Linked DNA regions of Oryzias latipes. The protein of the gene in region 2 purifies or fractionates together with the protein of the main gene of each other region. This does not show direct contact. Links are inferred from orthologs where the notes say so. Each region holds a gene or a part of one and is shown on either strand. Other genes may lie near its edges.

Region 1 (6,945 bases), on a different chromosome or scaffold from region 2:
AGGTGAAAAGAGTCTCAGACAGGATGATGAGCCTAAAGTTAGAAATTGAAGGGGTGATGGTGAATGTAGTCAGTGGGTATGCGCCACAGGTTGGCTGTGAGTTAGAAGTGAAGGAGAGATTCTGGAGTGAGTTGGATGAGGTCATAGAGAGTTTTCCCAGAGGAGAGAGAGTTGTTATTGGAGCAGACTTTAATGGGCATGTTGGTGAGGGCAACAGAGGTGATGAGGAGGTGATGGGCAGGTTTGGTGTGAAGGAAAGGAATCTGGAGGGACAGATGGTGGTGGACTTTGCGAAGAGGATGGAAATGGCTGTAGTCAACACTTACTTCCAGAAGAGAGAGGAACATAGAGTGACATACAGAAGTGGAGGTAGGAGTACTCAGGTGGACTACATCCTATGTAGACGAGGTCATTTGAGAGAGGTTAATGACTGCAAAGGGGTGGTAGGAGAGAGTGTAGCCAGACAGCACCGCATGGTGGTGTGTAAGATGACTCTGGAGGTCAGGAAGAAGAAGAGAGGGAAAACAGAAAAGAAGACCAAGTGGTGGAAGCTACAGAATGAAGAAACTTGTGAGGAATTTAGGCAGAAGTTGAGGCAGGTCCTGGGTGGTCAGGATGAACTTCCAGATGACTGGGAAACTACAGCAGAGATTATCAGGGAAACAGGTAGGAAGGTGCTAGGTGTGTCATCTGGAAAGAGGAAAGACGGTAAAGAGACTTGGTGGTGGAATGAGGAAGTACAGGAATGCGTCCAGAGGAAGAGGTTGGCTAAAAGGAAGTGGGATGTAGAAAGGACTGAGGAAGGTAGACAGGAGTACAAGGAAGCGCAGCGTAGAGTGAAGAGAGAGGTGGCAAAGGCCAAACAGAAAGCTTACGATGAGCTATATGACAGGTTAGACACAAAGGAAGGAGAGAAGGACTTGTACAGGCTAGCCAGACAGAGAGACAGAGATGGGAAGGACGTGCAACAGATAAGGGTGATTAAGGACAGAGATGGAAAGGTGCTAACAACCCAAGAGAGTGTACAGAAAAGATGGAAGGAGTATTTTGAGGAGCTGATGAACGAGGAAAATGACAGGGAAAGAAGGGAGGAAGATGTGGTTGTTGTGGAGCAGGAAGTAGCAGAGATTGGAAAGGATGAGGTTAGGAAGGCTCTGAAAAGGATGAAGAGCGGAAAGGCCGTTGGTCCTGATGACGTACCTGTGGAGGTATGGAAGTGCCTAGGAGAGACAGCAGTGGAATTTCTAACGAGGTTGTTCAATAGGATTTTAGAGAGTGAGAAGATGCCTGAGGAATGGAGGAGAAGCGTTCTGGTTCCGATCTTTAAAAACAAGGGTGACATGCAGAACTGCAGCAACTATAGAGGAATAAAGTTGATGAGCCACACAATGAAGCTGTGGGAAAGAGTAGTGGAAGCCAGGCTTAGGAAGAAGGTGGAGATTTGTGAGCAGCAGTATGGTTTCATGCCCCGTAAGAGCACCACTGATGCCATTTTTGCTTTGAGAATGTTGATGGAAAAGTACAGAGAAGGTCAGAAGGAGCTGCATTGTGTGTTCGTAGATTTAGAGAAGGCGTATGACAGGGTGCCGAGGGAGGAGCTGTGGTACTGTATGAGGTCGTCTGGAGTGGCAGAGAAGTATGTCAGAGTAGTTCAGGACATGTATGAGAGAAGTATGACGGTGGTGAGATGTGCTGTAGGTCAGACAGAGGAGTTCAAGGTGGAGGTGGGACTACACCAAGGATCAGCTTTGAGTCCTTTTTTGTTTGCTATGCTGATGGACAGGCTGACAGACGAGGTAAGACAGGAATCTCCCTGGACAATGATGTTTGCGGATGACATTGTAATTTGCAGTGAGAGTAGAGAGCAGGTGGAGGAACAGCTAGAGAGGTGGAGGTTTGCTCTGGAAAGAAGAGGTATGAAGGTCAGTCGTAGTAAGACAGAATACATGTGTCTGAACGAGAGGGATCAAGGTAGAAGCGTTAGGTTACAGGGGACTGAGGTGAAGAAGGTGCAGGAGTTTAAGTACTTGGGGTCAACAGTTCAGTGTGATGGGGATTGTGGAAAAGAGGTGAAGAGGCGAGTGCAGGCAGGTTGGAGCGGTTGGAGGAAAGTGTCAGGAGTGTTGTGTGACAGAAGAGTGCCAGCAAGACTCAAAGGAAAGGTGTACAAGACAGTGGTGAGACCAGCTCTGCTCTATGGGTTAGAGACGGTAGCAGTGAGACAGAGACAAGAGGCTGAGATGGAGGTAGCAGAGATGAAGATGTTGAGGTTCTCCTTAGGAGTGACCAGGTTAGACAGGATAAGGAACGAGTACATCAGAGGGACGGCTCATGTTGCCTGTGTTAGCGACAAAGTCAGAGAAGCCAGACTGAGATGGTTTGGACATGTTCAGAGGAGGGATAGTGGATATATTGGTAGAAGGATGTTGGAGATGGAGCTGCCTGGCCGGAGGGCAAGAGGACGGCCAAAGAGGAGATATATGGATGTCTTAACAGAGGACATGAAGTTGGCTAACGTTAGGGTAGAAGATGTTCATGATAGAGTGAGGTGGAAAAGGATGATTCGCTGTGGCGACCCCTGATGGGAAAAGCCGAAAGAGAAAGAAGAATAGTAACAAAAAGAGCCAATGATTGAACCAAATCACCTCTTTTGTAATGAGAAAATATTATTATTGTGGTCTACTTCTGCAGGTATCATAAAGAAAGTACCTTAATGATGAAACGGGGCTCATGTTACACATTTCAATTCTGAAAATTGTCATGTGTATGTAATTTGTAAAGTAGAACAGTTTGGATGTAAATTCACAGCACTGGTCGGAGGTTCCTGATGGGGCTCGTGCCGTTGTTCCCTCTCACTTCTTAGTGAGTAGTGGGTGCGACGCAAAACGCTCGCGGCACGCGTCTAAAACCGGATCAATCTATGGAGAAACTGGGCGCTCGAGCGTTTCCACTCGACAGCTCCAGGTTTTGGTGTCCGCGTGACACGTCACTGTTTTCCACGCAAGCTGATCAGGGCCGCGCGCTCCTTCCGGTGGAGACGTGGCTCTGCGGCGGCCATATTGACGCTAGCAGTCCGTGGAAGCCGCGCGCGTTGTCAGAGACTACAGTCCCTGGACCAAACTCAGAACCGGAACCACGAGAAACGGACTCCAGCGGAATCCCGAAGACAGACCACAATGGTAGGTGTCTGTCCAGAACCGGACCCCCCCTGCTCCAGTACGCGTCGGGCCTGCAACTAGCATAACATTGGCTAGCAGCTAGCTGCTGCGCTTCGGAACGGAACTAAAGTCAGGAGACGCAACTGTCCTCTGGTTTGGTTAAGTTTGGGTCCAGCACAGACTAATAGTGCAGTTGGACACGTTGTCCATTTAATTAGCTAGTACAGATAGCGAGGCTAGTGTTGTCAAGCCGGACTGGACCGACCGAACTTGGTTGATGACGGGTCGTGTTCGGCCCGGGAGTAATTCTGTTCTGTGTTGGCTGTGAATGTCATTAAAGTTCTGTTAGTGTGACCCTAGCTGCTGTTTGTCAGTACCAGAGTTCGTATAAGATTTTAGAAGAACAAGAACAGTTCGGTCCTGCTCTGTGTGGCAGCTGCCAAAGACACACAACAGTGTCATGATTTGGCACACCGTCCATGTTCGAGGTTCCGAAGGGTCCAGTGGGGAACTAATGGCTCCTGTCATCAGGTCAGAGTTCTGAGGTTTGAAGATCTGGAGTTTTCTGTGATTCACCCAAAATATGCCCCAATTCATCTGGGAAGCATTCCAGACGCTAAGGTTTGTGGGTAAATGAATCGCATGAACTGGAGTGCACTCTGGGTACGTTCATTTATTTATTTGAGGTAAAACGTCAATATTTTTTTCATAAACGTCAATAATACCGCATAAACAATTTAAGTTGAATTTATTTGTAAATATAAACGACTCAGAACACAGCAGTAAACAAGACTAAATACTTCATAATGAGCATGAGAAAAACAACATGCACTCTGTCTATCAGAAGTGTACAGCTCGGTTTCACCTAGAGGTTCTGTCAACTGGCACCTGGTGATCACCTTGTGGTCGCCGTGGTGACCATTAGGCCTGTTAACTTGTTTCCCCGAATGTCCCTTGTCTGCCTAAGCTGAAGTGAAAATATGACAGACTAAAAATGAGGATGTTGCCAAACTAAATGTCTCTCCGATGGAAGGGAGTCATTCACAAATGAATGAAACTACATGTTCATTCATTCCAACCCCATTATTTTCAAAGACCCACTCCAATGGAAATTGTATTTGTGGTGTCATTAACTTGTTCTTGTAGCACTTATAATGAAGGACATGTATCAAGAAAACTAAGCTGAAAATTTCATTTCTGAGTAATTCTTTATTCAAATCGTTGTGAATCAGAATGGGGGGGGGGGGGGGGGTGTGATGATGTGTTACATACAAACTACAATCATTAGGCCACAGGCTCCCTGCTCCAGTCCAGTCTGATGCATCCACCTGGGATCTGGATCCAAACTGAAGGGCTGGATGCCGTCGAATTAAAAACATTTTCTTTTTTTCTCTACCAAACAAATGCAACCACAAGAAGGCACAGTCCAGTGCTTTCATGTGCCTGTCAAAGGTGTGTCAGGAAGGGCATCTGGCATAAAACCAAAGCAAAATCAAATATGAGAATCTCAATCAAATTTTCCTTTTGTGTGGTTTAATTAACTCTTTAACACTGGAGCTTTAGCTTTAGTGTTGACATTCTTTCGACTACGGTAACTCTTCAACAGTTGATGCAATTAACGTAATTCCAGTGGATTCTGCAGCGGAGAAAAGCATCTTTATCTTGACATCCAACACTTACAGTAGTGATATGCTTGCCCAATCAACAAGTCACCCAATCAACACTTCTGTCATGCAGTAAAGCAGCTTTGCACCCAGATTGATGCAAAGCTGGTCTTCTCTGCTTCAGAATCAGCTGATTAACTGATCGCCAAACATCAAAGATTTACCATCAAAAAGAGAGAATTGTTTAGACGTCACTGGAGACATCTCTGGTGTTAATGACTTGTTACTGGTACTGTTGACCTAAAGCGGGGGTGTCAAACTCATTTTCACCGAGGGCCTCATCAGTATAGAGGCTGTCCTCAAAGGGCCAGATAAAACTTATACATGTAACTAAAAATAAACGTAACTGCTCCTTGATGTTAAATAACTCATTTATTTATTTGTTTTAACTTTTTGAAGTGACCATTACAGTTGCATAGAAAACATGTTTGCTTGTTACTCTAGCATAAATCCTTTGAAATGTTGTCCTCTTATTAAAACCCACGATCAAACTGTCCACGTGAATAAATAACATCAAACTGAGCTAGAAAGAACACGTATGACACGTGTAACATTTTACAATAAAAGGCTGCACACAGCCGTGCATCCAACTGATGGTTTGATGACAACAATTTGTCTGCATACACACATAAGACCTGCAAACATTGAATAATGACAACTGCAGCTACACATTAATAATATGTAATCAACTAAAAAAAATATTATAAGAGATTAAAAACGTTTATGCTGTGGCAGGCCACATAAAATATGGCGGGCCACATTTGGCCCCCGGGCCTTGAGTTTGACACATGTGACCTAGAGGGTTCATGTGCACTAATGCTGGTCAAAGGAGGAGAGGAAGGAGGTGTGGCAAAACTGGTACCTTGCTTTTTCTCTCTTTGGCAAAAAGAGCAAATGAAGTGTGGCAGTTTAGGAGAAGAACCTTTGATTATAGAGACTTTAACAGGGAAAATACAGTTGGCCAATACGTTAGAAAAAACATGGATGTACTGTGTGTTTGACAGACCAGATGAAAATGCAGGACGTTTTATTAACTGGGAGCAGAGTTGAAGCTTATTTCTAATGGTGTGTGCAGAAAGCAGAACAAAGAAGGTATGATCCACAACCCGCCGACGACATCTATACATCTATAACGACTCGACTTTTCATGGGATAAATGGGAATCAGCTGATACCAAAGCAGAGGAAAGCGTCTTTTCATATCTGCTTTGTACTGGCGGCTGAATGAGACCACTTTGTCTGTGACAGAATCCACTGATTGTGTAAATACTTCACTACTGTAAAGTGTCCAAAGAAAGTCAGTCAATTTATTTATATGCACAATATACCCATCCTTCTTTGCAAAAGTTTGGATGTTGTCTGTTTTCGTGGGAAAAACGCAGACACACTGCAGAGGCCGGCTCTAGGTTGATATCATGAAATGGGCGGCACCCAAAAGGAGAGAAAGGCGGAGCCTCAGAGATCGAGCCGTCTTACTTCATGGTTGGAAAATGAGCTGCAAAAATAACTAATATTTCTTTAAAAAAATAGCTCTTTTGTGTGGCAAATGTAATATGATATCATATGCATGGACATAGTTTACTATAAAAGGATTAAGAATAGCATCATATGGGCCTTTAAGTACTTTTACAAGAAATCACAAAAATTTGTCGATTCCTAATTATTTAAAATTCACAGAATGATTCCAAATCATTTATGGGTCCTAATTGATGCATCTATTAATCTAATAATCTAGTGTCAGATGTGACTTGTGTTGAGTCTGTAAAAATGAAAGGTGAGAGCAACCATGTTGTTGTTTTAGAGACCATTGCTCTGACGCAGAGCTGGAGGTGAAGGTAGAGATGTTGAAGTTCCCTTTGGGAATGACCACGATGGATCAGGAGTGAATCCATCAGAGGAAACGGCTGATGTGGGATGTTTTGGAGATGAATTTAAGGAAGCAGATTGAGACGTTGACAAGGGTGACAGTTGTTGTGTTGGTAGGAAAACTGAGGTTTGAGCAACTAGGACGGAGGCCTTTAGGAAGACAAAGAAGGAGGTTTTTGGAAGTAGAGGAAGAGGACGACGTGATGAAGATGGTTGGTGTGAGCAGAGGATAGGATGGAGGTGGATGATGCACTGTGA
Region 2 (7,100 bases):
AAAGAAAGCAACATATTCTGGTTAAAAAAAAATACTCATTACAGAATGAAAAGTGCAAGGACTACTGCAGGTGAAGCATACTTTCTATACAGAATGCTGAAATAAACACAAATGTTTCACTGTGCAACATGCCACTGCTGGTTCCATACTGTAGCCAACATGTATTAAATTATGTCGATGACAAAACAAGTCCAGACAAAAATTTATTTAAGAAAAAAAAAAAGGTTGAACATATTTGTGTAGATCACAGAATGACAGTGATAGTGGTTGAAGACGTTTTCTTTAACATCCATTTGAACTTAAAAGGACTCTATTCTTTGCACACTAATCAGAAAGAAACAAAACAATACCGTTTCAAACAGATCTGAGAACATGGGACACAAGGAATGTGGTCACAAGCTGGACAATGATGTTCTTCAGTATTTCACTTCCACGGGTGGAAATTCTGCTTCAATTAAAGGTTTCATAAATGATACAGTAAACCAACACCAGCCTGTCCATACTGGAATGCATACATTTCACTTTGATTATACTGAGAAAGGCAGAACATAAAAAAATCACAGAAATTACATTTTCAAACCGAAGTCCAGAATGATCAGCCAGCGATACTCCTCACAACTTCATAAAGATAAGAGGAAGTTTTAAAAAAAAGGGAGTATGATGATCAGTGCCGTGTGGTCTGTGCTGAACAGCGGCTCACTGCTGGACAGGACTATCGAAGGAGCGACCATTTGATCTGTTCTTTGGCAGACTGCAGTACCTGTGAAAGAAAAGGACTTTTTATTGTAACCTTCTTTAGAAAAAGAATACGAGATCAAATTCTGAACGTAAAAAAAATAACAATATAAAAAGGCAACAGTTTCAGTTTGCTTAATGAGAATCATTCAATTATCAAAAATCATTTCATTTCATTTATTGTCGTTTGCACAGCTTTACACTGACATACGATATTATTTCCAGTACAAACCCGAACAAACAGTTCAGAGTTGTCCACACTGTGGACATTAAATAAATTGTAAAAAATTAAAAACAAGTGATATTCATTAGGGCAAAAACTTTTTCGGATGAGGTTAAATTATGCCATCAAAAAGTTAATCTTTACCTACAAAGTACAATCCTTCAATTTGAACCTCCCATTATGGGTCAGAGAGCAGGTAAAGGAGCAGAGTAAAGATAATAATATGGCCTCTGCTGCACCTCAATCACTTTTAGAAGAATTCTCTTTTTTCAATATCCTCAATTCAAAGAAAATGCAAATAACTGATGTCGTAGAAAAGAGAAGCAGAAAACTCCGAACTAGGTGATATTTACAGCATTTTCTATTTGACAGTTGGTCTAAAGTCAAATGCATCACCATTTTCTACATTTAGAATTACAATTGTCATTTGAATGTTTTTATGAACATCTAAAAATAGCATCAATACATTAAGATGTCACCAGATTAAAGGAAATCAGATGATATGATCCCAAGGCCAAAAACAAAATAAATAGATATAAAGTGAAATAAGATAAGATTTAAAACATAAGAAAGTTGAAAATTGCTGCTTAAATACTGAACCGAAAAAAAGGGTGTTTGAAATACGCACGGTCTAATTAATCATCTTAATTTCTTGAATGAAGGCCAAATCATAACCATAAAGTATGATGGCTGGACACAGACATTAATCATAGCCAGAGGAGGAATGGTAGAAGCTAGTACCAGACCTTTTAAATGACAACATTAATCAAGTGGAGCCCTGACACACACACACACACACACATATATGTATATACATATGCGCGCACACACACACACACACACACACCCACACACACACAGACTCATCTAGACACTAAATGGCAGAAGCCATTATTGGCTAGCTACCACCTTACCACTGAATAATCAGTGATCATTTGCACACTTATGCATATGTGACGATACAAAATATGTCAGCCTGGAGGCAAGTAATCATACAGAAAAAGAAAATGACAATAACAGTACCCTTGTATATTCAAACTTCAAAGTAATGACTTTAAACACTCAATAGATCTTTAAACTCCACAGCAGAGTGAGGGGTAAAGTAGGGATGTTGTCCTCACCTGGGTGACTGTCTGCTCTGTCAAAGGTACATCATCTCCCTGCAAGAACAAATGCATTGTATTTACAGCTCGCACATTTACTGTCCAATCAAATGGAGATATTTTAGAGAAGAGGAGCGGAGCGGAGCTTACTCTGAGGGCTACACGATGCACAACCTGCTGTGGGTCACTCTCCAAGATTACTCTGAAAGTGAGGAGTCATAGTAACGATTACGAAACAAAATGAAGACACAGTAACGTATGATTTTTTTTTCCCCTAAAGAACACATTTCAAGACGCTTTATGCTTCTCATTTCTTACCCTCCGTCTACGATCTCATCCACAGCCAAGAAGAGTCCTTCCATATTCTCCAGCAAGGCTCTCTTTTCAACATTTTTCCTAAAAAGTTATGAAGAAATAAACTTAGAGCTGAAACTCTTTGAATATTAGAAACGTTTTTAAACCATTTAAGGTGCTATAAATATTTGCAGACAAATGCATACCTCAACATCTGACTCAAGGAATCGAAGAGGCAATTTAAAACAGCCATAAGCATCAGCTGTTGAAATGAAACACAAAGACATATTTAAAACGTTCAAGATAAAAAGCTGAAACAAAGACAACGTATGAAAAGTAAACATTAAAAACATAAACTAAGTTTGAACTTGTGAATTTGGAGAACTAGTTTAGTTCCAAGTAGACGAGCTTAAGAAACGGCAGAAATCCACGTTCTAAAAATGTGTCATATTAAAATCTACCCAAAATAATATTTTAAAAACAAAAGCTTGAAATAACAAAAAATCAGCAGTATTGATCACAGTAGAAAACACATTTACCAGTGTAAATGAAATATGTATTCACACTTAGGTTGGTTTCTTAAAACGTATTTGAATATGAAGCTGTATTATTATAATATTTAAAAATCATTAAATGTCAATTTTATGTTTTAATGTCAACTAAAACAATTACCTCATTTTCATGTGAACTCCCGATCACATAAAAGAAGAGGTCTATATTGCTCTTGTACACAACAGTCAGGCCCTCCAGCAAAGCTATTTCACCTGAGTGGACAGAAAAGAAAAACAAAATAAACTTTTTGTGTTTAAACAGCATCATGCTAAGTCTTTATTTACTGATTGTAAAACATCACGTACTGTCCGTCCTGTGCGTCTTGTTGAATATGTTTTTCTCAAACGCTTTCTGTTCCTTCACCGTTGGATACGTGTCATCGTAATACTGAAAATACAATCGCATTACAAAAGATTCTGAAAAAAAACTATCTCTACATCAGTAAACAAAATGTAGGTTTTTAATAAATACACAATTTATTGTATCCGATCAAACCATATTAATGACTAGATAGTAATCAATAAATTTCTACATATATAAGTAAAATAATTAAAAGACGTGGGCAATGGTAAAACCTGATCAGAAAATGCCGTTTCCCCACTAAGCTAAGCTACTAATTTAGCAATTTGGATTGACTTGAACTTGCAAATGCATTAAACAACTTATAGTACAGCTTAAATATATTTAGTATTTAGGAAGGCATATGTTTTCCTGATTATTTGAAGACAACTTTATAGGAAATGCACTTTGAATGTTACTAATTGACAATTACACGGTTTATTAAAATTGACAATGAAACATATTTTTTCAAGGAAAAACAACTTTTAATATAAATACCTCACATAATAAAGGACATTTGAGTGAATTCTGACTAATTAAGATGCCTCTTCAGGTGGTCTAAGGTTTATTCAGTGTTTCCAGCATCATGTTTCCAACTACCCACACTTCATCTCTTGTTTTTCATTGATCTAGCATTTGGATAACTGACCTACAAACACAAACTATCTTTGTTTTTATGTCATGTATTATATGACATAATCTTTTATTTAACAGATAAATAAATAAACACACACCTTGGCATAAAGTCTTTCTCCGTCATTATCCAGAATGAGAACCGCTTTGACTGTATACAAGGATGGTTCCTGGAATGACAACAAGAATCACCTACGTTTTATGTTCATTCAATTTATATAAACATTAAGTTAACATATGCTACAATCGAATCGGGACGCGAACGACGAAAAATGTCTAACAGAATGGCAGAACAAACATTGTGACAAATGGGACTAACTGTAACGATCACAAAATAGTGGAAAACAATATTCGAAGTAGTGCTTCATTTTTAGCCAGTGTGACCAGGAAGACGGGACACTTCCACATCATCAGAAAAGAAAGTGGCACATAAGGCTAACTTTGCAGGGTCTAGCTAGCTCGTTAGCCAACTCTTACGGTAGTTAGACGACCGGATAACGCTGTACAGTAAACCACACCCTTACCCGCCTTTCAATAAATAGTTCTCTGTGGATAATAGTCTTTCATTTTTTTAAACGACACTATATTTGAAGAGGAAACTTAAACACAGTCGTACCAGTATGGGAGAATCCATCTTCACCAGCTAACAGCAGGCTAGCACAGCTCTAACTTACGTAATACGTAGAGTTGAGGAATTTTACGTCACGCGCAAACGCAAAGTTCAATTCCACTCGGGGTCTTTACAGAAATTATTTACAACATTGACTTTGCATTTTCCTTAAGCCAGCAATTGATCAATTATGATTTGTTATTTTAAGTACATAAAATTAATAGCACAGGTTCGATCACATCTGAACCACAATGTTTTTTGTTTTGTTATCCGAGTGATTTGTTTACCATTATCCAGCAAACCTTAAATTTAAATCTATATTAGCAAAGAAAATAGCCACTTTCAAATGGCAAATAAAAGATGAGCAACTAATGATGTCAAAATCTTTCAAACTATTTCCTAAAGCTTATTTTTTTTTTGGGGGGGGGGGGGGGGTTGCCTTTCGTTTTTTTCTTCTCCTTTTTTAACACACTTTTATGAGACTAGAAAGCCATTGGTTGGCAATTTATAAAAGTAAATTGAACTCTAGACAAAAAGCCTAAAAGCACTGTACTAAAGTAGTAATAGCATTCATTCATTCATTCATTATTTACATTGACTTTTAGATTTATGGAATGGGGGGGGGTATAATACCTAATATGCTAATTCTGGAATTTTCAGATCTTGAAACATTTAAGTTAAAAAAAAATGAAGGGGACAGTTTACCTTGCTTGATTTTTTTTTCTAGCAACACAAGACCTCAAATAGTGTCTAGAATTTCTTTTAAAAAAGCATGCATTATGTGTATGCTGTTATTTTCCTATTGGGTCGGGCTATCATGATAACTGATATTAAAAATGTACCTTGCCATTACAAAGATATTATACTAGTTTTATTGTATTTTAAAGTATAAAATAGTTTGTTCTCTCATAAATGTTGTTTATCTTTACCCCTATGCACCACTACTGCTTGTCCATATATATCTAGTCCATTTCGAGAGAGTAGATAGAGATAGACGTTGATTATTTGGCTGAACCCCTCAGCCAAATAATCAACAAGACTGGCTATGGATACTGACTCAGAAATGGGGCCAACATCAGTCACCTCCTCATGGATGACTTAAAGCCATATACTAAGAGTGAGTGTGACATTGACTCCCTGATCTACACCACCAGGATGTACAGTACTGACATTGGGATGTCATTCGGGCTTGAAAAAATGCAGCCGGATGGTGACAAAGAGAGGCAAGGTAGTCCACACATAGGGGTCTCACTCCCAGAAGGAACAATGGCAGACATTGAGGACAGCTACAAGTACCTTGGAATTCCGCAGGCAAATGGCAACCTGGTGCAGGCAACAAGGAAAGCTGCAACAGCTAAATACCTCCAACGAGTAAGGCAAGTCCTGAGAAGCCAGCTCAATGGCAAGAACAAGACCTGGGCAACAAACAACTACGCACTGCCAGTTATCAGATGCCCTGCAGGAATAATAATACAGACCAAGGGTGTGAAAACACGAAAGCTTCTCACCATGCGTGGAGGGTTCCATCCCAAATCCAGCACCCGGAGACTGTATGCTAACCGCAAGGAAGGAGGCCGAGGACTAGTGAGCGTAGAAGCCACTATCCAGGATGAAACATCCAAGATGCATGAGTACATCAAGCTCAAGGCCCCAAATGACAGTGTGCTCAGTGAATGTCTCAGGCAATGGAGAGCAGAGGATACAGTGCTGGAGGACAGATCCTCATGGGAGGACAAGCCCCTGCATGGGATGTACCACCAGACCATAACTGAAGTGGCTGATATGAAGAAGTCCTACCAATGGCTAGAAAGGGCTGGCCTACAGGACAGCACTGAAGCACTCATCCTGGCAGCTCAGGAACAAGCACTGAGCACCAGAGCCATAGAGGCTCCGATCTACCACACCAGACAAGACCCAAGGTGTAGGCTGTTCAAAGAGAAGCCTGAAACAACCCAGCACATAACTGCAGGGTGTAAGATGCTGGCAGGGAAAGCATACATGGAGCGCCACAATCAAGTGGCTGGAAGAATATACAGAAACTCGTGTGCAAAATATAACCTGGAAACCCCAAAGTCAAAATAGGAAACACCTCTGAAAGGGGTAGAGAATGAGAGAACAAAGATCCTGTGGGACTTCCAGATACAGACTGACAGGATGATAATGGCAAACCAACCAGACATTGTAGTGGTGGATAAAGAACAGAGGAAAGCCGTTGTGATGGATGTGGCAGTGCCAAGCGATGGGAACATCAGGAAGAAAGACCATGAGAAACTAGAGAAATACCAGGGACTCAGGGAAGAATTGGAGAAAGCCTGGAAAGTGAAGGTGACAGTGGTGCCTGTGGTAATTGGAGCACTCGGGGCAGTAACCCCCAAGCTGGAGGAGTGGCTACAACAGATACCTGGAAAGACCTCAGACCTCTCAGTCCAGAAAAGCGCAGAGCTAGGAACAGCTAAGATACTGCGCAGGACCCTCAAGCTCCCAGGCCTCTGGTAGAGGACCCGAGCTTGGAGGAGAAACCACCCGCATAGGGTGAGAGGGGCATTGTTTTTTTTTATATATATATATACACAGCAGCTCTTAAACCCTGAAATGAATTTAGCCAGTTTAT

What was found. The genes of interacting proteins can lie anywhere in the genome.
Region 1: the proteins of copz1 (region 2) and arcn1 fractionate together in Homo sapiens (co-fractionation; 5 studies listed by BioGRID and IntAct, with this or other methods). This does not show direct contact. The link is inferred for Oryzias latipes from reciprocal best matches to the Homo sapiens genes COPZ1 and ARCN1.

Annotation. Positions count from the first base shown.
Region 1 is NC_019871.2:31,555,267-31,562,211, reverse strand, and holds the start of arcn1 (coatomer subunit delta), read left to right. Parts: upstream 1-2,906; 5' UTR 2,907-3,176; coding exon 3,177-3,179; intron 3,180-6,945. UniProt on the Homo sapiens protein: Component of the coatomer, a cytosolic protein complex that binds to dilysine motifs and reversibly associates with Golgi non-clathrin-coated vesicles, which further mediate biosynthetic protein transport from the ER, via the Golgi up to the trans Golgi network.
Region 2 is NC_019865.2:12,849,522-12,856,621, reverse strand, and holds copz1 (coatomer subunit zeta-1), read right to left. Parts: upstream 4,594-7,100; 5' UTR 4,514-4,593; coding exon 4,496-4,513; intron 4,050-4,495; coding exon 3,981-4,049; intron 3,295-3,980; coding exon 3,213-3,294; intron 3,120-3,212; coding exon 3,028-3,119; intron 2,618-3,027; coding exon 2,562-2,617; intron 2,458-2,561; coding exon 2,380-2,457; intron 2,264-2,379; coding exon 2,212-2,263; intron 2,119-2,211; coding exon 2,080-2,118; intron 761-2,079; coding exon 713-760; 3' UTR 191-712; downstream 1-190. UniProt on the Homo sapiens protein: The coatomer is a cytosolic protein complex that binds to dilysine motifs and reversibly associates with Golgi non-clathrin-coated vesicles, which further mediate biosynthetic protein transport from the ER, via the Golgi up to the trans Golgi network.